Schizosaccharomyces pombe: one gene and its partner. The gene in region 2 interacts genetically with the main gene of each other region. Each region holds a gene or a part of one and is shown on either strand. Other genes may lie near its edges. The genes, in order: sly1 and cog8.

The links.
Region 1: of cog8 (region 2) and sly1, a mutation in one rescues a mutant of the other (synthetic rescue), as found in Schizosaccharomyces pombe (one large-scale study listed by BioGRID).

The regions. Positions count from the first base shown.
Region 1 is NC_003421.2:1,920,920-1,926,022, forward strand, and holds sly1 (SNARE-binding protein Sly1), read left to right. Parts: upstream 1-2,240; 5' UTR 2,241-2,277; coding exon 2,278-2,329; intron 2,330-2,392; coding exon 2,393-2,661; intron 2,662-2,762; coding exon 2,763-3,850; exon of another isoform or gene 3,851-3,892; coding exon 3,893-4,001; exon of another isoform or gene 4,002-4,054; coding exon 4,055-4,456; 3' UTR 4,457-4,554; downstream 4,555-5,103. Other genes in the region: mug24 (rrm type RNA-binding protein), read left to right, coding at 1-327; ppn1 (cleavage and polyadenylation specificity factor complex-associated protein), read right to left, coding at 4,827-5,103.
Region 2 is NC_003423.3:1,488,194-1,493,197, reverse strand, and holds cog8 (COG complex subunit Cog8), read right to left. Parts: upstream 2,759-5,004; 5' UTR 2,588-2,758; coding exon 1,451-2,587; 3' UTR 1,244-1,450; downstream 1-1,243. Other genes in the region: random septum position protein, DNAJ domain protein Rsp1, read left to right, coding at 1-129; mrps28 (mitochondrial 37S ribosomal protein uS15m), read left to right, coding at 377-1,243; bifunctional histidinol-phosphate aminotransferase/imidazole acetol phosphate transaminase His3, read left to right, coding at 3,534-3,601, 3,657-3,668, 3,854-4,465, 4,525-4,987. UniProt on the Schizosaccharomyces pombe protein: Required for normal Golgi function.

The DNA of each region.
Region 1 (5,103 bases), on a different chromosome or scaffold from region 2:
AATGCCATGAAGGCTGTCAATGGCTTGCCTATACATCCTTTGTTCAAGAAGAGCAAAATCCGCTATGCTCCTGATAGATGCGAACAAGAGCTTCAAAAGTCTAAATCCAACTCTCCTATCCAACAGAATGTTCCATTGCAGCAATTTATTACTCCACCGTTTTCATATCCTGTAGCTTATTGTCCAGCAATTCCTCCAGGTTCGGATCCAATATTAAATTTTGGTATCCAGTATCAGCCCTTTATCCCCTTTACAGCCGTTCCCTCTTTTCCTTTCAACTGCAATGTTCCGAACTATCCTCAAACATCCGACCACGAAAACGACTAGTTCCAATACTCGCGAAGTAACTTTTGTTCATCAGCAAGTCAGTATGTTTCCATTTATTTTTGCTTATTCTCAATTCTACGGGTATTCACTCAGCATGCAAATTTAGTTTGTAACAGAGACTCCCAAAAACTTAACACTAACTCCTCTGAAAAAAACTTGAAAATTGTCCAAACCTAACTAAACATTGCCTTAAAAAAATCTAAAATTCCAAAAAAAATTGAAAAAGAAAAAATTCAGAAAAAAAACTCTTTTTATTCTTGACTCTAATTAAACCTTATTACTGAAAGTTTTTGATTTATCGTTTTTACACGTTTTGATTGTTTCCCACCCAAATTTGAAATTTTTTTGCTTTGTCACATTACTACTCTTCCGTGATTTCCAATGTCTTCTTTTAAATTATGTAATTTTTTGTCTTTAAAGAAAAATTACCTTCAACCTTCTGAGCAGAGTTTTATTCATTCAATGTGTCAATTAGTTTTTCAAACCATTCTTCTATCACTAAGAGAAGCCGGTCTGTGAACTTTTACTTTTCTTACCTATTAAAGATTACTTACTTCTTGCTGATGAATTCATGAACCCTTCTCGATCCGTTACTTCATGGGTAGTTTGTTCATTTACCATTATCCATTTTTTACTATTACCACAATATTTTCCCATTTGCTACTGTTTCCGTTGATGCCGGTTTTAAGCTAACCCACCAGCCAATTTTGCATTTTTCCAGCTTGCTATCATTAAACCAACTATTCTCACTTATACACATTATCATTGTACTATCCACTGACGAATTCTTTACTATTTCTCCCGTTTGATTACAGCTCAGCTTTCCAGAATCATTGTTATTGTTCCTCGTCATGATCACTATTATCCTTTGTTCACAACCAATTAATTGACTATCTTCATTCTATCATTCCATCGACCCCATCACCAGTTCGTTTACCATTTGCTTTCTTGATAGCATTCAGCTTGATCACACTAATTTTATTTTTTTCTTGAGCTTCCATATTTATCGCTTATTCTTGCTTTTACTATTCTAGGATTAACGTACTCACCATTTTCTTTTCTTTCAAAGCTCAATTATTGACGTTACTCCCAACACTTTGCTTACTACCGTTTTTTGTTATCATAATCGTTCTGTCATTTCATTTTGTCATCACTATCCTTGTCCTTATTCCGTTTTTTTTGAGATTTTTGTTTTATCATTATCATTATTCGAGTCCGACACCTTCTTTGTCATATTTTCGGTTTACTTTGCCCAATTCCTTCCATCAATACATTGTTTAATTATATTTTCCATCCATCATTGCTGTTAATTAATTACTATTACGATGATTAGGTCTACGGTATCATTATCATCATAATGATCAATGAATAATTTCATATTTTGTTTAATTCAGTCTAAAAAAATAAACGAAGACATGCCTTCTACTTATTTGATCCCATGAGCAACTTTAGCCATCGTATATGATCCTAGACACTTAGAATATGCAAATCATTAATGGCTAAATTCATAATTAAGAGCTTTTTGCGTTTGGATACTCTTTTAATAATTGTATCTTTATAAGTAAATAGTAAAGTAAGAACACCTCTTAGAAATATATGTAATGTAAGCACAGTTAGAAAGCTGAGATTAAATCTTAGAAAAGTAAACTACTGAACGCAAGATTGATTTCCTTCCTACGCTTTGAATGTTTCCGGTGCACTAGTACTGTTTTTTTAAATATCTAAAAATTTAATGAAAATCAGAAATCTTTAGTAAAGATTGAAGACTACAAGATTTGGTAAAACAGCCAAACCTCAATATTTATTTTGTTGTTTACCTTTTTGAACATTTAGCGAGACTCGCTTCACTGCCATACACCACCATATGAAGGGTATGATTCTTATGTTTATCCCTCAACACAAATCATCCTTCTAAGTGCTTATATTAGTGCCAAAGTTGGAATTGGCACGATGTCTATTGCATCTGTAAAAACACCGTCTTCTTTGAGAGAAGCTCAAATTCGTAAGTAGTGTTGCTAATAAAACTGTATAATTCTCAGTAAGCATTGCTAATATGAACCTTTAGAATCTTTAGAAAAACTGCTTAATTTGAACCAAGACGTCAACGAACTTGAATCAAGCCCTCAACATGCCTCTAATTTTCCCATTTGGAAAGTTTTAATCTTCGATAAGGCAGGGTCGGAGACTATTTCTTCTGTTCTCAGAATTAGTGATCTCAGAAAACATGGCGTTACGGTTCACATGAATATCACTTCGTTTCGTCAGCCTATTGCTGATGTCCCAGCTATTTACTTTGTTCAACCTACTCAAGAAAACATTGAGCTAATAATAGAGGTATGGATTTCTCAGTATCATAATTTTCAATCAATTAATCTTATTGTCGGATACCAAATACTTTTTTGTATTACAGTTCAGCAAGCTAACATATTTTAAAGGATCTTTCGAAGGGTCTTTACGAATCAGCCTATGTCTGTTTTTCATCTACCATTTCTCGTGCTCTTCTGGAACAGTTTGCCGAATTGGCGTCGAAAACAAATACAAGTCACATGATTCATCAAGTGTATGACCAGTATCTTAATTATGTTGTGTTAGAAAGTGATTTTTTTTCTCTTCAACTGCCCAAAATCTTTCATACGTTCCATAACCCGTCTTCAGATGAGGCTCTCATTAATTCACGCGTTCAGGATATTGTAAATGGTCTCTTTTCAGTGATCGTTACACTCGGAACCATTCCTATCATTCGTTGCCCACAAGGATCGGCTGCTGAGATGGTTGCCCAAAAGTTGAATCAACGTCTAAAGGACCATTTAATGAATACCAAGGATGCTTTTGTTTCTGTTAATCCAAAACCAAGGCCAATTCTTATTTTACTGGATAGAACGGTCGATTTGATTCCAATGATAAATCATTCTTGGACTTACCAAGCTTTGATTCATGATACCCTAAATATGCAACTCAATAGGATTACCGTAGAGTCAGTCGATGATGGAAAAATGACAAAGCGGTTTTACGATTTAGATGGAAATGATTTTTTCTGGGAAAGTAATGCTAGCAAACCATTTCCTAAAGTTGCCGAAAACATTGATGAAGAGTTGACTCGATATAAAAATGATGCTAGTGAAATTACCCGAAAATCCGGTGTTTCTTCACTTGAAGAAGTTAATGTTGACGCATTTGCTGATTCGACTTATTTAAAAAGTGCAGTTAGCTTGCTCCCAGAGCTTACAGCTCGTAAACAAATCCTTGACATGCATATGAATATAGCAACTGCATTATTAAAAGCTATTCAAGAGCGCCATTTAGATGACTTTTTTCAGTTAGAAGATAATATAACTGGACTAAACAGAAGTGCCATTCTCGCTTGCATCAATAACAAGGAACAAGGAACTCCCGAAGACAAGCTACGATTTTTTATAATTTGGTATTTAAGTGTTGATTCCGTACCGGCTTCTGATTTGCAGGCATATGAAGAGGCGTTGGTTAACAATGGCTGTACATTAGAAGCATTAAATTTTGTTAAGAGGTATACTGATTGATGTTATTGGTTTTTTCTAACTTATATTAGGGTTCGTGAAATAACTAAAATGACCATGTTAGCATCTTCTACCACAAGACCAGCTACGGGTCAAACAGGAGATAATTTATTTCGTGGATTTAGCAGTCTTTCCACAAGGGTAAGAATAGTTTGACACTTTTTCACCTTAAAGCACATATTAATTGTTTTTAGTTTACCGACCGCTTTAAAGAAGCCGGTATTGGTGGCCTTGAAAATATTATTTCGGGGGTTAGAAATCTGATTCCCTTCAGGAAGGATGGGACTATTACATCTATTGTTCAGAGTCTAATGGACCCTGGCTCTTCTCCTGCCTCCAAACAAACAGAGTCTTATCTATTATTAGATCCCAAATCAGCTCGTGCTATTACTGTAAACAATGATCCTAGGGCCATGAACAAAAGACAGACTTTTAGTGAAGCAATTGTTTGCGTACTAGGAGGTGGTAATTATTTAGAATATGGTAATCTGGCTGATTGGGCGCGTGAACAAAATCCTAAGAAGCGTATCATATACGGTAGTACCGACATATTATCGCCATCTGAATTTATGGAAGAAATGGCTTCTCTATCTTAAAAAATTATTTAGTTTTATTTTTTGGCCATCATGTTTGTTCAGCCAATATTGTATGAAATAAATGATTTACTCTTAATTTGATACATGACTTTTTTGTCGAATTTGTGTAGTCCATCATCGTATTGAAAATTTGGAAAGCATCAATGTTCATTATACGCAAATCGCGGTTATTTGTAAACGACATATACTTTCAGACCAAGAGCTGAGGGAACAGAAAAAAGAAAATGTAATTGCTGTTCTAAAACTCAAACAAAAAAAAAAAAAAAAAAATTAACAAAAAAAAATTTCAAAAACATATAATTCATAAGATTCTCAGTTATAACTTAAGTTAGACATGGCTTAAAATATGTAAGTTGTGAAAATCTTCAGTTTATATAGCATTCGAGTAATTTGGTATCGAAAGAGATGGATTTTGTAAAACGTTTGATGAAGCATCTGATATAGAAGATGACAAATTAGAAAAAATTGAACTTAATTGCGAATTCGAAGTAGCTGAGTATGCATTCGTGTTATTTTCAGAAACTTGCTGCACTAAACCATTAAATCCCAATTCAGTTGTTGCTTGAGTGTCAGACGAGACTAGCTTGATGTGAGCAGGAGGACGAGAATCATCGAATTCTCGAATAACAGGCAAATCCAAAATAATG
Region 2 (5,004 bases):
TTAATTGATAATTGGAAGGAAGGGTCACAAGCTATACAGTTATTTTATGCATATGAACAAATGCATTTGAGAGCTTTGGAAGAACTACAATCTTTAAAGGAAAGCCTTTTCGCATCTTTTGGTATATAATGATTATTATTTCCTCATTAAGTATTAAATTTAGTATTAAAATTTTTATTTGAAAATTTTATTTCTTCTTCATAACGTTTAACATTCAATTTATTAATATTATTTTTTACCCAGTTCACTTACCCATACTTCAAGCATACACCAGAACCAACGACTTTGTAAAAAGGGCATGTGTTTAATAGCTTACTCAGGGAGCGAATTGTAGCACGACTTTTCATTTTATTTTACATTACTCAGTTAATTTAAGATGAGACTTTTTGAAGGGGCTTTTCAGCCTTGGAAATTGGCGTCTACAAACTTGATGCAACAATGCCTTTTATTAAACAAAAAGTCTCAGTTTCATACAACATGCATTTTACAAGGTTTAAAAAAACAAAAAGCCAACCAACGTCGCAAACAAAATTTGAAAAGAAGGGAAGAGCTGCGAAAGCAAAATTTGGATACATTAGCTGACCCTATCATCGGACATTCGAGTGAATGGATAGCGAGATTATTAAAGCCGTACGAAATATTGGTGGAAAGAAAGAAACCAAATTTTCCTATACGTAGTATAAAATTTCCTGCATCAATGGAAACAATCAATCTTATTGTAGAGAAATTTGAAAAGATTAGGGCCTCGGCTACAGAAGAAACTAAAGATTTTATAAAGCTTAATGAGGTTAACGAATTTCCTTCTAGTGATACATCTTTGGAATCAAATCAAGATGGATTCGAGCGACTTCATCCACTTGCTGAAAGGTTAGAAAGGATGAGTCAATTAAGCGATCTTAGAAAAGAGAGCATTCACCGTATATTTAATATTGAAAATTCGAATTCTAAGACCTTAAGGTTGAATAATAAACAGCTTGCTGTAGAATCCTTTGCTAGAAATGAGCGAGATACTGGAAGTCCTGAAGTACAAGCTGCTGTCTACACAAGTCGAATTTTAGCGTTAAGCGATCATTGCAAGAATCATAAAAAAGATCAAACTGGAAAAAGGATGCTTCGATACTATGTTCATCAACGTCAAAGGATGCTCAAATATTTACGGAAAGTAAATTTTGACAGATATGTCCATTGTATAAAAAATCTTGGCCTTACGGACGAATTAGTTTTACGAGAAGTCACGCAGTAATAATTTGACGAAATTTATATTTGAAGTTTCATATAGTTAAATTCCCTCTCACATGCTAATCTCTTAACTAGATGTTTAACAAACATCCTTATCAATCATTACTGTTTACACCTATTGGATAGTAAGTTTTTGGCTTAGCACTTACCCTTAAAATGAGTAATAAGAACAATTAATTATTTGTTTTTTTTTTTTTAGGAAAAAATATATCTACGCCTGTTTCTCAGAAGATTGAGAATGGATCATTTCTAACCATTCGCTACCAAGTATTTTGGAGAGTGGTATAGAAATGTCTGTTCCCACTTTCGTTAAGCTTTGATTGCAATAATAAAGCTGAAGGAGTAGTGAGAATTTGGAAGTAGAATCTTTAACATTGGGCATAAATTTTTGTAAGACATAGCAAATTTCAAGTTGTAGTTTACGAACGAAGGACGAAAGAATATTTTGACCAAAGTTATTGAAGCCTTCGGGATCCATTTCAAAAGGTGACGCTGAAGTGCTGGTGGAATTAGGTATATCTACTGTACCTGCAGCGTTTAAACGATCATTTGATGACTCACCGAATACACTTTGATATTGAAAAAGGAGAGAAAATGCGCGATCACGAATGACCTGTATATATCTCCGTAAGTACAACTCAGGATTATTGTAGTCAAGCAATGGCACTAAATTTCGAAGGCTTGTTTGTAGTTGTTTCCATGAAAAATAAAGAAAAACGTATTTCAATTGGGCTTCGGACAGTTTTGCAGTTACCCGGAGATAGGTCACTACTTTGATTAATGAGTAAAGCTTTAATGGCTTCTGTAGCTGTAAAATAAGTTTCTCAGTAAGTTTAACCACCAGCGTTTCAACTTGAGTAATTAGTTCTTGAATGATAGAGTTTGTACCAAATCGATCTTTTAATCGATACGCAAGTGCTTGAAATTCCAACGTTTCGGAAAAGTAATTCCTTTCGATACAAGCGTTCATCAACTCTGGTAATTCCAGTATACTACTTAATTGCGGCTGAACTTGATGCATTAGTTTTGCATCTCTGTAATGCTCTGAAATTGAAGTTAGAAAGTTTTGGCTTCTCTTGACAGGTTCATATAGCTGATTTGTATGTAAAACAAGCTCTTTAAAATCGTGTCTACTGTTCTCGAGAAGTTGATAAAAGGCATCTTGATTCCTAGCATAATCGACTAATACATTGTAATTGTCTCGTAACAGTTGCTGGCGTTTTTGCACCAATTTTAATTTTTGAGCATGCAATTCGGCTTTTCGTTTCTCCAGTTCTGCATACGGTTTCATAGTAAGATCTCGAACAAAAGCATCCATTTCCGTTACATTATCCCCTATACTATCCATGTCTTCAAGATCTTTAAGCTTTCAAGTCAGGTTGTACAGCAAAACAATTCTTAGTGAAAACGCGTAAAAAAATCATTCACAACTATCTTCTAAAAAAAAGAAACTAATAGAATCTAAAAGAGCTACACGTTTGGATGAATGCGTTACGAATATAAGTACCTTATGTGTAGTAAGGGTTGGAAAGCACCAGCCTTAATGTAAGGATCCATTCTCGAGTAGAAACTTGCATCTTCATCTTGGAACACTGGCTAGATTTTCCGATCGTTTTGTTTAAAGGATTTAAACAATATTTAATTAAAAAAGGTTGAGCAATAGTATTCGCATTTTCTTTGAATAAAATAAAGCAAAAGCGCTGCGACAATTTAATTTATTTAACTTTTACATAAATCGTAGGCCAAAAAGTTATGAATCCAAAATGGTTATCCTAGGTAATGAAATAGATTGTGAATAAGACTGGATTGAACTGCCTCATCTATGCAGCCTGTATAGTGAAAATAAAATAGCTAGATAAAAAGCATGTAGCAATTGAAACAACCTCATAAAATGTAATGAATTATGAATTTAAGTAACAAATATCTATTTCTCGGACGGCAAAAGTCTAGTAAATATGTGTTTTAATTTCAGCGAACTGTAAACAATGGTGCATTTTCTTTACAGCATTAGTATAGTAACGAAATTTTTATCAAGCTTTCAACGTTTTCTTTACTATTGCACTTATAATTGTATTTGGAAATGAAAGACATATGGAGCTTTATTTCTCTTTCCTCTTCAGGTTTCTGAATTTATTGGATATAATGACACGGTGATACACGTTGTAATGAATTAAAGACTCACATTGCTACACACTATATATTTATAGATATCACCTGCATCTTAGGTTAATTATTAATTAATCTCATCGATCGCTTTCTTCTTACTTTAACAAAAACACATCGAAAGAGATACGATGTTTGATTTGAATACTTGTCTTCGTAAAAATATCTTAGAACTTCAGCCTTATCGCTGTGCGAGAGAGTATGTAATAACTTGATAAACTAGAAAGCGTGATATATATTAACATAGAATATAGTGACTTCTCTGAGTATGTTTTATCTTTATATTTGGGTAATAATTGATATGAGGGCTACTTCTAGAAAGATATTTTATTAGCTGCTTGGAAAGCAATGAAGTACTCCCTGTTTACTGTTGTTGTTGGAGCTGGCGATTTCAGGCCTTTGTTGTTTTTTACCCTTTTCTCGCCTATATATTTTTTGCTAATCTTAATAGAGGTGTCCTTCTTGATGCCAATGAATGTGCTTATGGTTCGGTTATTTCCGTGGACGGTGTGGAATTCAATCGTTATCCGGATCCTAGACAGATCGAAGTAAAGCAAAGATTATGTGATTTGAGAAACAAAGAGCTTTCCATTACCAAGCCACTAACACCAGATAACATTTGCATGGGTGTTGGCAGCGATGAAATTATTGACTCCTTAATTCGCATTTCTTGTATTCCTGGAAAAGATAAGATTTTGATGTGTCCACCTTCGTACGGAATGTATACGGTCTCTGCAAAAATCAACGATGTTGAGGTTGTTAAGGTTCTCCTTGAACCAGATTTCAATTTGAACGTCGATGCTATTTGCGAAACACTTTCTAAAGATAGTGCCATCAAAGTCTTTTTTGCTTGTTCCCCTGGTAATCCAACAGCTAAGGCTCTTAAACTCGAGGATATTAAGAAGATTTTGGAGCACCCTACATGGAATGGAATCGTTGTCGTCGATGAGGCCTATATTGATTTCTCTGCTCCCGATATGTCTGCCTTAACTCTTGTCAATGAATATCCAAACCTTGCTGTTTGCCAAACCCTTTCGAAATCTTTCGGTCTAGCAGGAATTCGGTAAGTTAATCTAAGCTTTTAAGCATTAATATTATTTCTTTACTAACTATGATGTTTAGTATCGGATTTTGTTTGACAAGTAAACCTATTGCTACCATTATGAACTCATTAAAGGCTCCTTATAACATTAGCGAACCCACCTCTCGTTTAGCTTTGGATGCTTTATCCCCTCAGTCGATTGATAAAATGCATACATATAGAGATGCTATTATACAGCAAAGAGTTCGTCTTTGCAAAGAGCTTACTACCATTAAAGGAATGGGCAAGATTATAGGTGGTTATGATGCAAATTTTATCCTCATTCAGGTTTTAGATAGACCAGAAGGAGGTAAGCCTAGTAACGATGCCGCAAAATATCTTTATTTACAAATGGCCACGATGCACAAAGTCGTTGTTAGATTTAGAGGTACAGAGCCTCTTTGCGAAGGAGCATTGCGTATCACTGTTGGCACAGAAGAAGAGAATACGATATTACTAAAAACTATTAAACTTGTATTGCAGGAATACTATACAAAAAAATGAGGTTTCCTTTTCTGGCC